Linked DNA regions of Ovis aries. The protein of the gene in region 1 purifies or fractionates together with the protein of each later gene. This does not show direct contact. Links are inferred from orthologs where the notes say so. Each region holds a gene or a part of one and is shown in the gene's direction. Other genes may lie near its edges.

Evidence for each region. Proteins that work in one complex are often made in the same cells at the same time.
Region 2: the proteins of RNF41 (region 1) and MTCL2 purify together in Homo sapiens (affinity purification with mass spectrometry; 3 studies listed by BioGRID and IntAct, with this or other methods). This does not show direct contact. The link is inferred for Ovis aries from reciprocal best matches to the Homo sapiens genes RNF41 and MTCL2.

What each region holds. Positions count from the first base shown.
Region 1 is NC_056056.1:163,341,699-163,347,312, forward strand, and holds part of RNF41 (E3 ubiquitin-protein ligase NRDP1), read left to right. Parts: exon of another isoform or gene 1-3,296; coding exon 3,297-3,568; exon of another isoform or gene 3,569-4,262; coding exon 4,263-4,398; exon of another isoform or gene 4,399-4,767; coding exon 4,768-4,871; intron 4,872-5,614. UniProt on the Homo sapiens protein: Acts as E3 ubiquitin-protein ligase and regulates the degradation of target proteins. Polyubiquitinates MYD88. Negatively regulates MYD88-dependent production of pro-inflammatory cytokines.
Region 2 is NC_056066.1:65,887,911-65,894,024, reverse strand, and holds the start of MTCL2 (protein SOGA1), read left to right. Parts: upstream 1-2,703; 5' UTR 2,704-3,051; coding exon 3,052-3,726; intron 3,727-5,255; exon of another isoform or gene 5,256-6,114. UniProt on the Homo sapiens protein: Microtubule-associated factor that enables integration of the centrosomal and Golgi-associated microtubules on the Golgi membrane, supporting directional migration. Preferentially acts on the perinuclear microtubules accumulated around the Golgi.

The sequences.
Region 1 (5,614 bases):
ACACCGCAGAAGTGCAGCTGGTTCCGAATTTCTTCGGAGGTGAGGTTTTCATGCTGTAAAATGGTCAGCTATTTGTTTCTGTCCTCTTGACAATAGCTTGGTAGCTTCTTTTTCTCTTCAGGGGCTCTAACTAGGTTCCATCTCCCTTTCCACAACTGAACTTCTGGACTCTCCTAGTAAGTTCTCTCTGCATTTTCATGATGCAGTGTCTCAGGTTATCAGCCTGCTGCTGCTAAGTCGCTTCAGTCGTGTCTGACTCTGTGTGACACCATAGACGGCAGCCCACCGGGCTCCCCTGTCCCTGGGATTCTCCAGTCAAGAACACTGGAGTGGGTTGCCATTTCCTTCTCCAGTGCATGAAAGTGAAAAGTGAAAGTGAAGTCGCTCAGTCGTGTCCCACTCTTAGCGACCCCATGGACTGCAGCCCAGCAGGCTCCTCCATCCATGGGATTTTCCAGGCAAGAGTACTGGAGTGGGGTGCCATTGCCTTCTCCTATCAGCCTGAGGGCCTGCCTACTGTTTAACAGATAGGAAGTGGGGAGCTGTATAAACTGATCTAGTTTCTTCCTAGGATTTATTGGCGGGGGGGGGGGGGGAGTTTTTAATGCAGCCATGTACTCTGCATTGTGATATGAAAGCTGCCACCTTCACTAGGTCATTTCTTTACCAGCTTTGAGAGACCAAAGATAATTGTGTCTTCCTGGGGCAAGTGTGAGGAGAAGCTCATGAGTACCAGGCAAGTATAATGAACAAGGTGAATTCTTAACAGTTGTATTCATGGGACATCATTCTGCATGGTCCTTATTGCCTGTACTCTGTAAATACCAATTAATCCTCTGCCACTGCTCTGACTAGGTAGAGATAATACCATGTTCCAAACCCAGACACCAGTCAATGAGGGCTGTGGCCCTTCCCCCACTCACTGCTTATACAAGGCTCCCCTTGATTCTTGGAGTTTATTCTTACTCTCCAGTTGTTAGCTACCCAAAGGAACACAGATGACTGAACTGAATGAAAATCAGAATGCATTCCAGTGACAGCAAGCCCTGGCCCTATCGCCTGCCTTTGCAGCCTGCTGCCAGGTGGCGCTAGTGGTAAAGAACCTGCCTACCAGTGCAGGAGATGTAAGAGATGTAGGTTCGATCCCTGGGTCAGGAAGATCCCCTGGAGAGGGAAATGGTAACCCACTCCAGTATTCTTGCCTGGGAAATCCCATAGACACGGAGGAGCCTGGTGGACGACAGTCCATAGGGTTGCAAAGAGTCAGACATGACTGAAGCAACTTAGCACGCACGCATGCCATTAGAAGCAGATTGGCTGGGTGTGGAGCAGGCTGTCCTCGTGGTGTCAAGAGGTCATGGGGTGTGTCAGTTCCCTCTCCACCCTGACAGGGCCTTGTCTGTTTTCTGGCACCGTCATTTGAGGTGAGTCACGTGTGGAGAAATCAGTGGCAGTTAGTGACTCTCTGAGACAGAAAATCCTCCCCCACCCACTCAGGCTTTACTGTCTGAGGAGCAAGCCAGGTTAATAGACGCATGTCCAAGGACAGAAAACTTCTGCTAGGGATGCTGATTTCCCTACATCATTTTTTTAAAAATAGATAATAAAGTCATATGGTTTAGAAATCAAAACAGTAGAAAAAGATGTATGGTGAAAAGTCTTAATTCATCTTTGTCCCAGTCCACCTAATCCCCTCATCAATAGCCATTTCTGTTAATTTGGTATCCTTCCAGTGTGTATGGGGGCAGATACAAGCAAGTGTGAATGTACACATATATTTGCCTACCTTTCTTACACAAAAGTAGCGCCTTCTGTATACTTCCGCAGGGGTGGCAGGTTTAGATAGAAAGGTCATGAAAGAGGTTCAACTGAGCTGAGATCAGAACGATAAGGGGCCAGCAAAGGGGAGCAGCAAAAGCAAGAGACAGTAATGAGCAGGGTGGGATGAGGAAGAGAGAATGCCAGAAGGGCCTGAAGTCAGTGCTGGGAGCATGGTGTGAGGAGAGGCACAGGGCCAGATCAAACAGAATTTTTAAGTCCTGGGCAGGAGTTTGGATTTATTTTAGGTGTAATGGGAAACCATTGTAAAATTTTAAACAGGTGAGGAATATGATCCAGTTTGCATTTCTAAATGATCACTCCAGGTGCTGAGTGTAGGGTGGATTATAAAGGGGTAAGGTGGAAGCAGGAAGACCAGTTAGAAGACATGATAATTTAGATGAGAGGTGATCACTTGAACTGGGTTAGTGGTAGTACAGATGGAGAAAAGTGGACACACCTAGGATTTTTGAGATAGGGTCTAAGATTTTGAAAAGAATCAAATATTATTTGATTCACTTTCAGCGAAAGTGACAGTTGGATTAATGATATTGATAATGACTTCTTTTCTTATGAAGCCTTTGTATGTTACAATCTGAGCATTTTGAAGGCAGAAACTGTCTTACCTTTTTAAATTTAACCACGTAGCAAAATGTTTGGCTCATAAAAAAGCGCTCAGCATCATTCATCCATTCATCAACATCTAGTAAGTGCCCGCTCTGTCTGTCCCATGCTGGAGGCCAGAGAATCCTCTCACTTTGCATTATCAAGGAAGTAGGCTGAAATATGATCTTTATGAAACTGAAGAGAATGTGATTCTACAAAAATCTAGACCTGTTTTGGAGCGTAGGCATTGCTCCTTGGGACTCAGGGCAACACCTCGGGTTGGGCCTCATAACATAAGAACTTGGGGGAGCTCCCTGGTGGTCTAATGGTTAAGGATTTGGCACTTTCACTGTTGTGGCCCAAGTTCAGTCCTTTGTTGGGGAACTGAGGTCTCGCAGCCAAAGAAAAATGAACTTTTGCCAGTAAGTCTCTGCCCCCCTCCCCCCAGTTCATCCCTCAGGACCCATATCAAATTCTGTCCTGTCCATAAATACCTGCCCTGACTGACCTAGACTGGAAAGATCTCACCCTCCTCTGGATTTTTTGGCCAATTATTGTATATTTGTAATCCAGTTGGCATTTAATAATTGACCACCTTATGTCTTGCACTCACTGTCCTGGAATGTTATTTATAGTTCTTATTGTTATATAACTTTTTACTTGTCTTATGTCACAATCCATTTGGAATCTTGAGCACAGGAAACACATCTGAAGCCTTACCCATCGCAGATCTCACTGTTGCCGTGACCCCAGGGACCTCTGGCGCTGGAAGCTGCACAGCGGCTTGATCGGCTTTGCAGAGTTATCGTCCCCAGGCTCCTGGCTCCGCTAATTCTCTTGTGTCCCCTTTGCCCTGCTTTAACTTCTTCCAGGCCCCTCACTGTGAGCATGCTTTCTGCAATGCCTGCATCACCCAGTGGTTCTCTCAGCAGCAGACGTGTCCGGTGGACCGGAGCGTTGTAACGGTCGCCCACCTGCGCCCAGTACCTCGGATCATGCGGAACATGCTGTCAAAGCTGCAGATTGCCTGCGACAACGCTGTGTTCGGCTGCAGTGCTATCGTCCGGCTTGACAACCTCATGTCTCACCTCAGTGACTGTGAGCACAACCCCAAACGGCCTGTGACCTGTGAACAGGGCTGCGGGTAAGAGTCCTGCCTTTCTTCTGCCCACAGAGAGGGGTCTTCCCGTTTATACCCATCTGTGGACCTCCCACTCCCTGCTGAAGAGGTCTCCTGTGTGCATAGGCAAGGAGTGCTCTTGGCCTCCCTGGCTCCCTGCTCCAGGATCTGTTTTGTGCTGCTTTCCGAGCTACAGTCTTTGTCCTCTTGCTTTAGTAAGAGAAGGGAGACCGCTTCAGCAATCTGTGTGATACCACTAAAGACTGATTTACTTTATTCCTCCCTTTTGTCCAGTACTACTTCTCTTTGTCAGATTCACTGCTCTAATTTCCAGGCCTTTCATGTTACCTCTGGTCCTATTTTGTCTTTCTTTGGGGTGTAAGATATTTGATTAAATACTGATAGCTGGGGCTTTGAATCTAGGGCTTCTCAGAAGGAATGAGTCCACAGGCAGAATCTGTAAGAGGAACGCAGAGCCACGTGGGAGATAAAACACTGTCTTGGAGAAGGAAAGAGGCCCAGAGGAAGAAGACAGCAAAGGGATATGGTGGGTGGGGGAGCTGGGGAGAAGGAAGTGAAGGCAGTAAACAAGAGAATGTTAGAAATGAATGAATGTTAGTAATTTCCGGTAGAGAAAAGCCCTCTCAGCAGTTACCTGCCTGTGCCACATATCTCATTGAACGCTCCTGTCGTGTTCTTTTCCCACCCTGGGTGGCAGCCTGGAGATGCCCAAAGATGAGCTGCCAAACCACAACTGTATTAAGCACCTGCGCTCAGTGGTACAGCAGCAGCAGACACGGATTGCAGAGCTGGAAAAGACCTCAGCGGAACACAAACACCAGCTGGCGGAGCAGGTAGGGCCTGGAGAACACAGAGTGTGTGCCTGTGGTTGATAGGCACGGATGTGAGCGGCGGATCTGTGCCTGTGCTTGTGAGCCTGGTTAGTGGATACTCTGCCTATGCATAACAGCGAATCAGACTGGAGCTCTTCTTGTTCCTCATTATCCCATCAGTGACATTCATTTATTTACCATTTATCAAATGCCTTCCCTTGGAGGCACTTTGCCAAGCACTGAGGGTACAGCTGGGATTGATACAGTCGTATCCTTGTCTTCATGAACCTTCCAGTCTGGTTGTTCCTCAGACCTCTCGATTTCCTTCATTTTGTCTTTCATCCATTGTCTGTCTTAACCATTATCCCTTGTTCTCCTTCCCTCCGACAGAAGCGAGACATTCAGCTGCTCAAGGCATACATGCGTGCAATTCGCAGTGTCAATCCCAACCTTCAGAACCTGGAAGAGACCATTGAGTACAACGAGATTCTAGAGTGAGTGTCATTCAGGATGTGGAATCCTCGTTCCATGTCCTGACACTGAGCCCTGAGGAGAGAAGAGCAGGGAAGTGGCAGAGGGGGAGGGTAAGAAGAGGGCTGGGCCGGGGCCACTGCTCCTCAGATGATGGGATGAAGAACACGAGGCGGAAAAGAAGGGGATCACCTTCAGCCCCAGTACAGGATCTCATATTTTTGGTGGATGGAACGGAAAGCTTACCTAAGAGTTAGGTGGGTACCCACATGCACAAAACCCTGTGTTAAAAGAGAAAATATTGTCCCTGTCTTCAGGGAGTTTACAATTCAGAGAAGAGAGTGCAAAGATCCAGGAAAGTGATCTAAAATGTGGCAAAAACAAGTGAAGTCTAAGATCCCTTTCAGTTTTAGAGTTCTACATAGTTCATAGACTAAACTGTGAGTCAGTCTATACAGTGCTGCAAGGGACACAGAATAGAGGAATCATTGCTTCATTCGGTATTCATTTTTGTTGAATACTTACTACCTGCCAGGCACCATGTGCTAAGTATTGGAATTTTCAGAAGAAACAACAGGAACCCTACACTTGTGGGGTTTAATCCGGTGAGGAACACGTGCTGACACTCAGATGGGACCACCTAGGGAAAGATCTGGAGTTTCTGAACCAATGGTGGAAGGAAAGAAGGAGGAATCAAGTTAGGCTGAGGGCAGAGCAGGCAGTCGTTACTATTAGGAGGAAAGCCAGTGCAGAGAAAGGGGCTGAC
Region 2 (6,114 bases), on another chromosome or scaffold:
AGATCAGCCCTGGGATTTCTTTGGAAGGACTGATGCTAAAGCTGAAACTCCAGTACTTTGGCCACCTCATGCGAAGAGTTGACTCACTGGAAAAGACTCTGATGCTGGGAGGGATTGGGGGCAGGAGGAGAAGGGGACGACAGAGGATGAGATGGCTGGATGGCCTCACCAACTCGATGGACATGAGTTTGGGTGAACTCCGGGAGTTGGTGATGGACAGGGAGGCCTGGCATGCTGCCATTCATGGGGTCGCAAAGAGTCGGAGATGACTGAGCAACTGAACTGAACTGAACTGATACATCCCTGAACCTATCTTCAAAAAATACAGTCAGTTCCAAGAAGTTCCTAACCTTTCCGGGATCCTCTGCTGAAGTGTTGGGCACTGAGCCTGGCATGAGTGCTCAGGGGTCGGGAAGCCCCGGGTGGTCTCCCCACCTCCATGGAGCCAAGTCTGGGCCCCTGGCAAGTCTTGCTCCTTCTGCTGTTTCCCTCCTCTGAACCGAGTCCAGAGCCCGCACCTTGACCCTACCCAGCCCTCGCCACCCCAGCCCTACCAGGGCTTGCTGTTCCCCAGGCTCTTCTGGGGCTGCAGTGTGGATTCAGGGCTCCCACATCTGAAGACCCTCAGAACAGGAAGGGCCATTAGCCCCCTGCTTAGCTATGAGTGTTGGGACCCAGACAGGGTACATGGTAGAGCCAGGACTCTCGCCCAGGCCCACATGGGGAGATCCAGGCAGCTGCTGGGGGACTTCCCTGATGGTCTAGTGGTTGATGAGTGTGTCAGGAGTGGCTGAGCAGCCTGCTCTAGCATGTATCCCCCTGCCACGGTTCACATCATCCAGCATCTCCAAGCCCACATTCTGCATAGATGGAGAAATTGAAGCTCAGAGAGGGTATGGAGTTTCTAAGAGCCACACAGCATCTCTCTGTGCCAGACCAGAACCAGTCTACAAGAAATGGGGTCATCAGAGCTAGAAGGACCCTGTCCTCCATTATATCACATGAGCTCTTCTGAGGCCGGAGAACCAGAGGAGGGCCTACCTTGGTCCTTGCCTTGGTGGAATGTCATGCCATCCTGTGGGTGATGACTCTTTTGTGGCTCATCTCCTCCCTTGACTGCGTGCTCCGTGAGGTCAGGAATTCACCACTGACAAGTCCACCACTGTGGCTCTCTGTGGACTGGGTGAGTGGACAGTCAGTGCCGGCAGGGGAGCTGGTGCTTTGCCAGGAGGGGATGGAAATGCCCCTGAAGAAGTGTTTGCAGAGGACCTGTCAAGGGGCCCTGCTCCTTACCTGGCTGGTGGAGGCACCTGGAGAAAGGGTTTCAGGATGGAGGGGGCACTCACACACCTAGACACCCCTAGATGGGAATGAAGCCTTGCCTCACAAGGAGAGGGCAAACCCCAGGAGTGTATTCACCGCTGTGGGGTAGGAGGGACAGAAACAAAGTGGAGCTGGGGCCAGCTGTGTGTCAAGGCGGAGGAGTGAGGCAACAGGACTGGGGGGAGGAGGAAGAGGAGGGAAAGGGAAATGGAAAAGGAAGGGGGAAAGGGTTAAGAGGAGGAAACGAAAGTAAGAGGAACAGAGGGAGGAGGAAGGGGCTGCAGAGGGGTAAACACAGCCCTGCCCCCCACCGTCGCAAGGGGCTGCCACCCTGAGGGTGATCGCCACCCCGCTGGGCAGCCAAAGGACTTCCGATGACTCTGCCCAGCAGGGGCCAGGCGGCGATGGCGGGTAGCAGCGAGGAGAGGGGGCGGGGGAGGTGTGACAGCCACATGGGAACATCAACAACACGGGAGCACAGTTCTGGAAGGGAAGAAACGACACCCATCAGAGTCGGGGCTCCAGGGTCATATGGAGTTGCTCTGTCAGGGACGTGTGAGGATCAGGGCAACCAGGTCCAGCTCGGACTAGCCTACGCGGGAGCCAAAACCTACTCCTAAAGCAATCGCAGGTCTGACTTCTCAGAACGGGTCGCCTCGATTTTAGCGGGGCAGAGCCTGAGACTGGGTTCAGGGAAGCAGCGAGCGTGCCTGGGGTCACAGCCGGTCAAGGCGTGCAGAGCTGGGCAGGCACCGAGGGCCAGACGCTCCCCACGACTATGAGAGGGAAGCCAAGCCTGGACGTCCGGAGCACGCCCTTGGAGGCGCGAGGTCTGGCGTCCATCCCGGCTCTGCCAGTAACAGTGGGCCGGGATCGCCGGTCTTCCCCAGGCTTCAGTTTACGCATCTGTACATTGGGATGAACTGTCTCGCTCCGCTAGGTTCAGGGGGGCGGAGTTCGCGCACGCTCCGCACAGCCGCGAGGGGCGAGGTGCTCGGCGTGTATATGGATGCTGGCTCACGCGATCTGAGGTCCGCCGGGCCTCTGCCTGGGAGTCCCCCGTCTCGCGGCTCGCGCGACCTCTGCGCGGATGAGGGGAGCGAAGGCGCCTCCGCCGGGGGCGTCGCCCAGGCCAGCAGGGGAGGGGACGGCGGCGGAACGGAGGCGGAGGGAGCCGGGGCCTCGGCAGCCTCGGCCGGCCTGACCCTCGAGGGGGTCGCTGTTGCCTCGCAGATCCCTCCCTCGCTCGCTGCCTGTGTCCCTCCCTGCCGCTCCCGCCGCGTCCGCCTTTTGTTCGCGGAGCCGCGCGTCCCCGAGCCGAGGCGGCGGGGCGGGGAGCTGGCGGGGCTGCGCGGGGGGCGGGCCGCGCCGGGCGGAGCCGGGGCCCGGGCCGCAGCCGGACTCGGAGCTCGAGAGAGCGATCGGCGCGCAGGCAGCCGGGGCCCGGGCACGCTCCGGGGGCGCGGCGAGGCCGAGGGGGCGGGCGCCGGGCGGAGCCGGAGCCGGAGCCGGGGTGCCTGGAGGCGATCGGGCCGCTCTCTCCGAGCCCAGAGCAGTGGAGAGACCGTGCGGCGGGGGTCGGGGCCGGAGCGCAGCCCGGGGTCTGAGGTGGGCCGAGAGGAGCCGCGACCCCAGCGGCCGGAGCGGCGCCAGGAGCCTCCCCCCGGGCGCGGAGGCCGGGTGGGCCCGGGCCATGCGCGCCGCTCCTTGAGGCCAAGGCAAACCGCGATGGAGGTGCCGGCGGGGGAGCCCCCGGCTCGGGGCTGCGGCCCCCCGCCTGCTCCCGCACCGGAGAGGAAGAAGAGCCACCGCGCGCCGTCGCCGGCCCGGCCCAAGGACGTGGCCGGCTGGTCTCTGGCCAAGGGCCGCCGCGGCCCAGGCCCGGGCGCCGCGGCCGCTTGCAGCGCCGCGTCCTCGGCGAGGCCGGACAAGAAGGGGCGTGCGGTGGCGCCCGGGGCGCGGGGCGCAGGGACGCGAGTGGCCGGGGTCCGCACCGGGGTCCGCGCCAAGGGCCGTCCGCGCCCGGGGACCGGGCCGAGACCGCCGCCACCGCCGCCCAGCCTCACCGACAGCAGCTCGGAGGTGTCGGACTGCGCGTCGGAGGAGGCGCGCCTGCTGGGCCTGGAGCTGGCGCTGAGCAGCGACGCCGAGTCGGCTGCCGGGGGCCCCGGGGGGGCCCGCACGGGACAGCCGCCCCAGCCGGCGCAGCCGGCACAGCAGCCTCCGCGGCCCCCCGCCTCCCCCGAGGAGCCGTCGGTGGCCGCGTCGTCGGTGGGCAGCAGCCGCCTGCCCCTCAGTGCCTCGCTCGCCTTCTCCGACCTCACCGAAGAGATGCTGGACTGCGGACCCGGAGGCTTCGTGCGAGAGCTGGAGGAGCTGCGCTCGGAGAACGACTATCTCAAGGTGCGGGGTCGGGGCGGGGGTCCCGGTGGGGGAAGGGGAGGCCGCGGGGAGGCGCGGGTGTCCGCCCCACTGGCCCGAGGCACCAGCCGGCCCGCTGTCCCACCGCTCTAGCTGGGCAAGGGGCCTAAACCCTCAGGGGCTCCCTCGCATCCCGCTTCCCATTGTATCTGGGAAACCTTCTCCTAAGGGAGGAACCTGGAGGAGACTGCCGATGGGCTTTGATTTAGGAAGGGGGTCTTGAGTGCTTTGGAGGATGCTTAGATAAGGTGCCTGGGATGGGGGTGGGTGCTCCGTGAGGGCCTGGACCTCGGAAATCGAGGCTCAAAGCCCCCACCCCCAGGCCGCTGGGTGGCCCTCCTTTCTGGGACAGGCACTGGTGTGCCGTTTGCCGGGGAGACCTGTGGCCATCTCTGGCTAAGGAGAGGCCTGAACACTAGCCTGAGTCTTCACCCAGGGCTTTCCTGGCTCGGGCCTGTCCCTGCCTGCCTTTTAGGGCGGGTCCGCATTTGAAAGCATGACATCTGGGAACATCCCCTTGGCTAGAGTCCGACTTCCGCGCCCAGTCTAACGGTCCTGCAGCCTGGGAGGATGGTGTCCTGGGAGAACCCGTTCACACCTCCCTAAATCCCAGGGTATTGTCTTCTGCCCAGTTTTGGATTGGCCCTGTATACACAGCAGTCCTATCGTGCCCCCCAGCAGTGCCCATCTCCTTTCCAATAAGAAGAGGAAAGCTGGCATCTGAAAGAGGCTTTTTCTCTGGGCATGTAGGGGACCTGAGAGCTTCCCAGGAAAGCAGGCATGACCGTCACCCTTTCAGTGCACATGAGGACCTACTGGATGCAGGCCAAGCTGTCTGCCCACTGAGGCAACTTGAGCGTCGGCCCAGCCCTCATATGTCGGTGTTGGCCTGGGAGATTGCCGGCTTCCTGGGTTCTCCCGCCACGGGCTGGGCACGGTTTGGAAGAGGCTGAAATGTTACCTGCTCTTATCAGTTGGTATCCTAGTACAATACCCGGAGCACCCCTGGCCAAGAGCCTCCGAGTTCATGGCACTCTGTTGATTTCTGTCTGCCTGGCAATACTTACCCTTGGCAGTGTAGCTCTTCGGGCCAAAAGGGTTTCTCTGTCTTTAGAGTCTGTGAGGTCTTGCTTAACTATGTCTCTCCTTCTCCATCTCCCCCAGGATCTGCTACCCCACATGTGTTTAGTAACTGCTTGTACAATAGAAGGACAGAGTCTGTCTGAATCAGAATAACCTACCCTTTTAGCCTCTAACCTTTCCTCAGACCAGGCCTTAGTTTTCTCATCTGTTAATTGGGAGGGTAAGCCTTCCCAAAGCCCCCATTCAGTGTGGACAATCGGGGGCTCAGTCAGCTCCTGCAGTCTTCACAAGCCAGCTGTGAGGAGGCTATTAGGAGAGAGGAGGGAGATCAGCCAGAGAAGGCCTGGCCCTGCCCAGGTGGTACCTGACCTGCCTTGAGCTCCTCAATCCTGCCTCCTGGCCTCCATTGCTCCCCTGGCAAGGGAAGATGGGCTGTAGAACTTGACTTCATGGTCTCCCTCATCCACCCCCACCAGCTCCTGTTCATCCCAGGAAATTACCTGGCAGAGCTCTGGAGTCCTGCCCAGCCACCCATGATTGTTAGGATGGGAAACAGTTCCAGAAGGCTGGAGATTGAACCTGAGGCCTCACAGGGGCCAGGACCTGGCTGGGGACCACCCACTGCCTGGGTCAGGGCTCAGCCTCAGTTTCCCTCATTCATTCAGTGTTTCTGGCTTCACATGCAGGCCTCAGACCACTGTTATATCTGAAGAGTGTGCCTTCCTGGTTGTGTGATCTTGGGCAAGCCCCTTAATGTCTCTGGACCTCAGTCTCCCTGTTGTAAAAAGAGACATCACACATCTTCCAACCTTAAGGGTTCAATGAGTTATGTGCGCAAACACCCTGAGAGCTCCACCCTGAGTGGAGTGAGCCTCAGAGGAGGGTAATTTCCACCACTGTTATTCTCAAGTGGTACATGACACATTTCCGTGGGCGCTTACCATGTTCTCTGGCAGACTCTGTGGGGAAGGAATAGAGCCTCCTCCCCACCCAAAGTAATCCTGGCCCCTCATTCATTCATTCACCAACTAGTTACTTAATACCTGCTGGGTACCAGGCACTAACACAGATCTGAGGATGAAGTGTCTGTTTTCATGGAGCTGTTGGTCCTAGTGGAGGAGACTGGAATTAGACAGTAGTCACACACTGCATCACACACTGCATCACACTAGGGATCGTCACGAGGGTGGGGAGGGACACGAGGGGGGACTGGGCGGCTTAGGGAGGCCAGGATGAGAGGGAGCCAGCTGAGTAAGGAGCTGGAGTGAGACCCTTCCAGGCTAAGCG